2 linked regions of the Cricetulus griseus genome follow. The protein of the gene in region 1 purifies or fractionates together with the protein of each later gene. This does not show direct contact. Links are inferred from orthologs where the notes say so. Each region holds a gene or a part of one and is shown in the gene's direction. Other genes may lie near its edges. The genes, in order: Slc7a14 and Golgi membrane protein 1.

Region 1 (4,601 bases):
TGAAAGCCAAATTAGAAACAACCCCATGAGTGGCATGGCCCCTCTTAAGAATCATAGATCTAATTTTACATTCTTTTTTTTTTTGCAAATGAAGATATTTTGTTCACAAAGAATATGCCCAGCATCACAGATCAAATCTTGGCAAGCAAGAAGTACATAGGAGTGGAGGCAGCTGAGTGCCTCCTGTGAGCCAGGTCTTGTCCTCAGCTGCTTGCATATCTGTGCTGACCTGCCTAACACATTAACACCAAGCAGATGACTTTGCTACTGGAGTTGTTGGGTCAGAGCTAGGTCCCAGCAGCCCTGATGAACTAGGTTCACCAACCTGTCCTCAAGCCATATGGTGACTTGAATGAGAAATGTCCCTCATAGGCTCATGTATTCAAGCACTTGATTCCCAGCTGGTGGCACTATTTGGGAGGACTATAGAAATTTTAGGATGTGGAGCCTTGCTGGAGGAAGTACATCAGTAGGCTGTGAGATTTTATAGCCTTGCCATGCTCCTGCTCCTTCTCAGCTTCCTGTGTGTGATTGAAAGCGTGATTAGCCAGTTTCCTACTCCTGCTGTCATGCTTTCCCTGTCATGATGGACTTTGCCCCTCTGGAACCATAAGCCAAAAGAAACCCTGAGTTGCTCTTGTCAGAATATTTTACCACCGCAACAGAAAACTAACGACTACAATGGACAAGTGAAAGAGACAAACGGACAACTAAAAGCAGAAAGGAGAGATGTATTCAGTGTTGCAACACTGAGAAGGAAAACAAAAAGATTGAGCCCCTCTTCCAAGTCCATCTTCAGGGTCCTAGCATGAGATCTAGGTTTAAATAGATGGCTGTTTGAAGGTATGCATAGCTAAGCAGCCCTTTTCAGTGGTCCCAACATCAATATTCAGGGCCTCAGTCTTTCCTGTGAGGTGTTCTAACAAGTTGTCAGACTGTGTGAAATATCTTTCTAGGGGATGGATTCTCCAAGCTGGCACCAGGGCCCCAACTTTTTCCTTCTCCCAGCATGAGATTCCTAGAGAAAATCTAATTCCTTGAAGTATGGTTGAAATTACAAAGAGAGGCTACACCCATCTTTTCAGACTATTTTCATTCTGGTCAAGACTTTATTGGCCTGTAAAGAGCTAAGACTGAAGCACAGAGAAAGGAAATGACCTATAGCAGGTATTAGAATAAACCAGCTTCTGGGATGATTATGAGACAAGGGGCAGGCTTCAGGCTGTCATATGAGAACTGGAAGGGAGCTCAGAAGGGAGAACACAGAAATGGAGAGGCACAAATGACAGCCTCATTGCACCTGTTCCTGAGGCAATGCCCAATGTGTCTCCCAGTCATGGTTTGCTTCTTACCTTCTTTCTTGTGTTTCTCTTCCAGACGTTCATGCCCAAGTCAATGCTGCACTGGGTCCCACTGGGCCTTTCTTAAAAGGACACACACTCATTGCTCCATGTGTTCCAGGATCATCCACTAAGTCTTCTGTAGTTCTTTTCCATCAGTGAGCCTTCACTGTAACCCTCCCGTTCAAGATGAGTGGCTTTCTGGCCTCACTGGACCCCCGGCGGGTGCAGTGGGGGGCTGCCTGGTATGCGATGCACTCTCGGATCCTGCGTACCAAACCAGTGGAATCCATGCTGGAAGGGACTGGAACTACCACAGCACATGGTACCAAGCTAGCTCAGGTACTCACCACTGTGGACCTCATCTCTCTTGGAGTCGGCAGCTGTGTGGGCACTGGCATGTATGTGGTGTCTGGCCTTGTGGCCAAGGAAATGGCAGGACCTGGTGTCATTGTGTCCTTCATCATTGCTGCTGTTGCATCTATATTATCAGGTAAGTGTCTAAGGGAGGGATGTCCCATGTCAAGGTTGCTTGCTGACATGGTTGCTGCTCATTTCACTCTTTCAGAATATCTATTACAACATTTGTTTATTTGTGTGTTGCGGGAGCACATGCCAGAGCCTGTGTGTGGAGGCCAGAAGACAACTTGTGGGAGTCAGTTCTCCCCGGCCACCAGATGGGTCCTGGAGATTGAACCCATGCTGACAGTGTGAGCAGGAGACACCTTCCCACTCAACCATCTCCCCAGCCTCTTCTAGAACAGTTGGTAATGAGCTGCACAAAGGGGCAGTGAATTGGCTTATTTGGTTTTTCTGGTCTCCAATACTGCTAGGTAGACAGGGGACTAGGTTTCGACCTGATTGTAATAGCTTCCGTTTTCTGTGGTTTTCAGTATAAGCAACTATTCTGATGTCCAGGCTCTGGTCTCCCAGCTTCTCCCTCTCTGTTCTGCTAGTTACTCTATTTCTGTTTTAATGCTGCTTTTCCTTGGAAGATGGGTTGGGTCTCCTAGCAAGAGGAACAGAGCACACAACCAGCATAAAATAATAGCAAAGGATGTGCAGAGTAACAAAACAGCAAGTCAGTTACTTGGACATGACTGGGATTTGATCAGCCTCAAGCTGGCACTGGGAGGCAGAAGCCAAGAAAAGGGATCTAGTGCTATTGGAGATATACAACACTTTCTGCCTCAACAAACAAACCCATCACCTACAGGGAGGGCAGCAGCCCCTCTTGCCCTTGACCCAGGGTCACACAACTAATTCAAAAGCGGGATGCCAAGGCCTACACATTGGTAGTTTGTGGAATGACTCTCCTATTGCCTTTCTCCCTTTTCTTCATTTTCTCTAGAGCTGTAGGCCATAGTATCTTCCCAGAGGACCACAAGTAGGTCAATAGACAACTTTTAAAAAAGAAGAAGAAAAGATAAAAGGAAAGGAAAGGAAAGGAAAGGAAAGGAAAGGAAAGGAAAGGAAAGGAAAGGAAAAGAATAGCATCTTGGAGACCACAGCACAAAACATGAGATTTTGCTGGGCATGGGGCTACTGATTGTGTGTGTCGGCTGATGTATTGGCAGTGAGTGTTTGGGCTGTTCAACTGTTTCAGGCACAGCATATCTAATGCAGAACAGGAGTGTTACGATAAATCTTTCTGCCATAAGCCACCCGAGCCCTACCACCACATGGGCGGTCTCCGCCAGCCACCTGAGTTCTGCCGGCCATGTGGATGGACAAAATAACACAGAGACTTGTATTATGTACAGATGCTGCTTGACCAATGACTAGGATTCTCATCTGTTAGCTCAGTCTTATTTATCATAAATCTATATATTTTATAAGACTTATCTTATTGGACACCATCCATTGGTGTCCTCCTTTGCAGGTGGGTGGATCACATGGTGCCACTGGAGCAGGAGCCAAGGGGAAAAGGGGAAGGAGAGGGCTTCCATGTGCTGTGGCCCCTTAAGAGCCCATGCCGAGTCATCCTGACCTCACCTTGACCACGCCTTGACAGGTGTGGTCAGGCACACCTGTAGCCAGCCTCTAACAGGTGTGGCTTACTGTCCCCTACACAGGAGTTCTGTGACTTGTGTCCAGCATCACATGAAAATCCTACAGTACCATTCCTCACTATTAAATATTAGTATTTAGTCTCCGTCCATGAAGTAATAAGACAGATTACAAACAGCAAACTCAAAAGTTTACTGGCTGCTACCTGATGCTTTTCATTTAGTAACAATCCACTAGAACCAAGCCTCACAGTCAACTCTACCCAACCCCTTCCCTGGAATCACCCTTTCTTCTGCATGAAAACGCTAACAAACTGGATTTATGCAGATTAAAGGACTTCTGTCCCTTCAAAATGAATGCATTGCTCACATGAATGAATTACCTAGCTGCTTGAAATAAGTAATGTGACTTCAATTCTTCCCAAATTGTATTGACAAAAATGATACATCACTGGTTTATGGCTCTAAAAGGAATATCATTATAGAAGTGATTAGAGATGGCATAACAAGGGGCAGGCATCCTGCTAGAGGGTTATCCTAGTGTCATTTATGTTGCTGTAATAAAATACTCTAGCCTGAAGCAACTTAAGGTAGAAAAAGGGTTGTTTCAGTTCGGTCCAGCACTGTGGGTGAAGTCACAGCAACAGAATCTTGAAACAGCTGACCACGGACAGGAACAGGAAGGAGATAATGCATCCGTGATCACTTGCCTGTTTGGTAGTGCTCAACTCCATTTTTTCTTCTGTGGTCTTCAACAGTTCAGGACACCATCAAGGGTACAGTGCACACCCACAGTGGGCTGGGTCTTCCCACATCAAATAACTTAAAGACAATCTCCTGTGGACATGCCCACAAACCAACCCAATGTAAACAATCCTTCATTAAGGCTCTTTTCCCAGGTGACACAGGGCCATAGGATAGACACCTAAATCCCTGCCAGTTAATGAGTACTGCACAGCTTTCCCCAGACCCCATTCTAGTTGGGTACAGTGCCCAGGCTGAGATGACTCCTGTATGAGGGAGGCAAATCATCCCTCACATACAATTGCATCCTGGGAGCCCATCCCCCACCTCAGTGCTCACAGCACTGTATAGTATCTACTTCTTCATCACTGGAATGGAGAGCTCAGAGCTATCCAGCCAGTATGATGCTGGAGCCACTGTGCACCAGCTCTTTGCAGCCCTGATAGGCCACACCACTTTACAGCTTTACAGCCAGTGATATCACACTGCAGACCTGAAATCAGCTGTG
Region 2 (4,399 bases), on another chromosome or scaffold:
ATAGAGGGATACTCCCTCAGTCTAGACACATGGGGGAGGGCCTAGGACCTATCCCAAAAGATATGACTCTGAAGACCCCCTATGGAAGGCCTCACCCTCCCTGGGGAGCAGAAAGGGTATGGGATGGGTAGGGTGTTAGTTGGGGGGGCAGGGGAGGAGGGGGGAGAGAGGGAACTGGGATTAACATGTAAAATAATTTTGTTTCTAATTTAAATAAAAAAATGGAGGGGAAAAAAGCATTTAATTGGGGCTGGCTTACAGTTTCAAAGGGAGTCCAGGACCATCAAGGTGGGGGCCATGGCGGTGGAGCAGTAGCCAAGATCTGATGTCTTAACCACAAAGGGAGGAGGAGAGCTGGGAACTGAACCTCAAAGTCCAGCACAGTGACACACCTACCCCAACAAGGCCACACCTCCTAATCCTCCCTAACAACTGGGAAGCAAACATGCAAATGCATCAGCCCTGTGGGGGCCAGTCTCATTCAAACTACCACAAGTTGTTTATTGGAAAGATAAAAACGGGTGGGGGTATGGATGAGGTCATCAGGCACTGCTCAGTTGTTTATTGTTGTGGGGGTTTAAGGAGATGTTCAGAGTGAACCTGCTTCCTCACCCAGATAGGGAAACTGGGAACCCTTGAAAGAGATTCTGCAACTGTTCTCAAACCCCAGCCACTTATTAAAAAACGTGCAAAAGAGCCCCGCAGCCCCTGGAGAGACGGCTCAGGGGTTAAGAGCACTTTCAGAGGTCCTAACTTCAATTCCCAGCAACCACATGGTGGCTCACAACCATCTGTTATGAGATCTGGTGCCCTCTTCTGGCACGCACTGTATACATGATAAATAAATAAATATTAAAAAAAAAAGTGCAAAAGAATCCCAGCACTGGGGAGGCAGAGAAAGGATCTCTGTGAGTTCAAGGCCAGCCTGGTTTACAGAGCGAGTGCCAGGACAGCCAGGGCTACACAGAGAAACCTTGTCTTGAAAAGACAAAACAAAACAAAAAACCGTGAGGATAATACCAGTGTTCAGAGCCAGAACCCAGGGCCGTGCACCCCAATAGCCAGCAACGGTAAGTGCAGCCAGAGAAGCAGAGGCCGGAGGGACACCACGAGTTCGAGGCCATCCTTGGGCTGCACAGTGAGCCAGGTCCTGAAAGACAAAATCCTGCTTCGCCGCTACCTCGGAGGTCATCGTTTGCGGTGTGGCGGGTGGGTGGGCGGGGAGGCGATGGCTCAGGCCTGGAGGACTGAGCGCAGGGCGGCTCGCACAGGGCGGCTCGCACAGGGCGGCTCGCACAGGGCGGCTCGCACAGGGCGGCTCGCACAGGGCGGCTCGCACAGGGCGGGGAGGAGGGCGGCGCCGCGGGGCTGGGGCCTGGGCTGCAGCTCCGCCGGAAGTGCCCGCCCGTCTGCCCGCCCGCCGGGGCTGCTTCGGCGGAGAACGCTCTCGCACGGCGACCGGACCCGGCGCCCCGCAGCCCGCAGCCCCGCAGCCCGCGGCCGGCAGGTGAGCGCCGCGCCTCTCCCGCGGGACGCAGCGCGGGCAGCCGCCTGCTGCCGCCGCCTCCCGCATCCTCCTCCACCCTTCGCCATCCCCTCTTCTCTGTCTCTCCCGCCTCCCTCCTCTGCCCTCCCCGGCAAACCCTGCAAGTGGCCCGCGAGTCCCCGGGGTCGCCCGCCACAGGCAGCCGCAGCCGACTTTCTGGGATGCTCCTTGCCGGGGTGGAACTACCTAACAACTTGTTGCGTGCTAGAAGCGCTCGCTGGGGTTTTGATACTCTTCTGTGTTTAAAAATGTTAACGATTACTTTAAAAATGTAAGACAAGATTGGGAAACAATCCCAGTTTTGATGAGCCCCTTTCTAGCGATTTATGCATGGTGAATTGGTTGGGAAAGTCACCAAGGGCTAGCCATTTCCAGGTATCGCATCTCGAAGTCTGCTGTTTTTTTTTTTTTTTTTTTATTTAGCTTTCAAGGTTTGAGGCTTTCTTTGTCTGGTTACGGGGTCTCAGGGCCCTACTTTTTTTTTTTTTTTTTCCATACTGAGGAATGTTCTTTAGAAGTGGGGTAAAATGCACACCAGTTTGATGAACTGTTCAGCGGTGATGGAGTGACTGACCATGGAGTGAATGATGAATGGCCATCGCTCGGGTCAGATTTGACGGTTTTATTTCCGAAGGTGATGGCCGGGGTGCCTGGGAAGCTACAATCAGTAGTGTTGGGTGTTAGGGCATTGCAACTCATGCTACTCATCTTAAGAAAGAGAGGCTCAGTCACTTCCCCTTGTAAATAGAAAACAATAGTCGGTAGACTACTGAAGACTCTGTCAGGGCAGACACTCCTGAAAGTTTTCATGGACAGTAAGTTTCATTCTTAAGAAGTGTAAAGAAAATATGTTGGTTTTTTAAGGCCTAATTCTCCCTCTTAGGGAGTGCTTATTATGTTTTCCCACATTTAAATGAATAAGTTTTGTGCAAAAATAACAGAAATGTTGCTTGTAGGGAAGCCTGTGTGTGTATGTGTGAGTGTGTGTCTGTGTGTCTGTGTGTGAGAGTGTGTGTGAGTGTGTGAGTATGTGTGTATGTGTGTGTGAGTGTGAGTGTGTGTGAGTGTGTGTGAGTGTGTGTGAGTGTGTGAGTGTGTGTGAGAGTGTGTGTATGTGAGTGTGTGTATATGTGTGTGTGAGTGTGAGTGTGTGTGTGTGAGTGTGAGAGTGTGTGTATGTGAGTATGTGTGTGTGTGTCTGTGTGTGTGTATGTGAGTGTGAGTGGTGTGTATGTGAGTGAGTGGTGTGTGTGTGAGTGTGTGAGTGGTGTGTGTGTGTGAGAGTGTGAGTGTGTGTATGTGTGTGTGTGTGTGTGTCTGTGTGTGTGTGTGTGTGTGTGTGGTGGAGGTGATGAGACACTGTGACCTGTTCTGGCCTTAGGCCTTGAAGTCCGTGTGCTTTTTCCTTACTGGTGGCAAGTCTGGCTATTGATGGGGATGGGAAGGGTTTACATGTGTTTGTTTTTAGGGGTAGGGCACAAAGAGCAGGGAGCTCTTTCTATGTGTTTCCATGGCCACCTCCTGCAGGGAAGGCCTGCCAGTGTCCTGTTCAAAGTGCCAGAGTAGTAAAGATAGGACCTGGGAACAGGCCCCTGTGGGGCAGTTGGGGTGGGGGTGGGGGAAGGGAGTTTGGGCCTGAGGAGCAGCCCTGCCCCTGGGAGTCCTGGGTGCTGAGGGGAAAGAAGGGAGGTTGTGAGCCCTTTGCTTTTCCCTCGAGTTTCTTTACATGGTTGTCACTTTTTCTTCCTTTAAAAAAATTCAGGGTTTAGGACCTAACATGAAAAATAACATCCATAATTTCTTTTAGAAAGCAATTCTTGATTGGGAAAAGAAAAAAAATAAAGGTAGGAGAAGTGGCCTTAAAATACCTTTCCTGCTGGGGAAATGGCTCTGGAGTGTGAGTGCAGGAGCTTCGCCCCACCGTGAAAAGCCACATGTGCCCTGCGACCCCAACTCCCAACTGGTTGGACAGGACACAGACCCCAGGAGTCTCCACACAGCTGGTCCAGAAGAGTCAGTGAAATGCCCTGGCTCAAAAGTGAGTGAGAGATCCACAGAGGGGGAGATGCTGCACATGGAGGGGGCACCCCCCACATGTGTGCACGCCAACATGTGAACATGCATAACACACACACAGCCCCCCACATGTGTGCACGCCAACATGTGAACATGCATAACATACACACAGCCCCCCACATGTGTGCACACCAACATGTAAACATGCATAACACACACACAGCCCCCCGCATGTGTGCACACCGACATGTAAACATGCATAACACACACACAGCCCCCCACATGTGTGCACACCGACATGTAAACATGCATAACACACACACAGCCCCCTGCATGTGTGCACACCAACATGTAAACATGCATAACACACACACAGCCCCCCACATGTGTACACACCAACATGTAGGCATGCATAACACACATATAGGCTTTAGCTTTAATCTTGGAAACCGAAAGATTGAACACTTTAAAAATTCTGTGACAGTTTCACACCTAAAAAATCCCCACAGGATCCCAGGCTTTGAAGTTACTGGTGGAATTAGTTAGGGAAAGACTTGGCTTGAAGTTTTCAGGTGTTTCGATCCCCAGAGTGACTGGGATCTGCGTGCCTGACACAAATGCTCACATAGACTGTTACATGGTGACGGTAGCTTATGTCTCAGTCTGATCATTTCCATTTCCAAAGCTGGCGCCCCCTCCCTGTATGTGTTTTTACTTCTCTATAAACGACGTGTGTGTACTAATTACCCTCATGTTATTTCACTTTTAGCTGATATTGCTGCCATGTCAGTGGGGGGTTAGCGCATGCTTCAAATCTTTCACTTAATTTGGGACCAT

Evidence for each region.
Region 2: the proteins of Slc7a14 (region 1) and Golgi membrane protein 1 purify together in Homo sapiens (co-immunoprecipitation; 3 studies listed by BioGRID and IntAct, with this or other methods). This does not show direct contact. The link is inferred for Cricetulus griseus from reciprocal best matches to the Homo sapiens genes SLC7A14 and GOLM1.

The regions. Positions count from the first base shown.
Region 1 is NW_023276806.1:119,888,502-119,893,102, reverse strand, and holds the start of Slc7a14 (probable cationic amino acid transporter), read left to right. Parts: upstream 1-1,529; coding exon 1,530-1,833; intron 1,834-4,601. UniProt on the Homo sapiens protein: Imports 4-aminobutanoate (GABA) into lysosomes. May act as a GABA sensor that regulates mTORC2-dependent INS signaling and gluconeogenesis. The transport mechanism and substrate selectivity remain to be elucidated.
Region 2 is NC_048596.1:278,768,988-278,773,386, reverse strand, and holds the start of Golgi membrane protein 1, read left to right. Parts: upstream 1-1,400; 5' UTR 1,401-1,507; intron 1,508-4,399.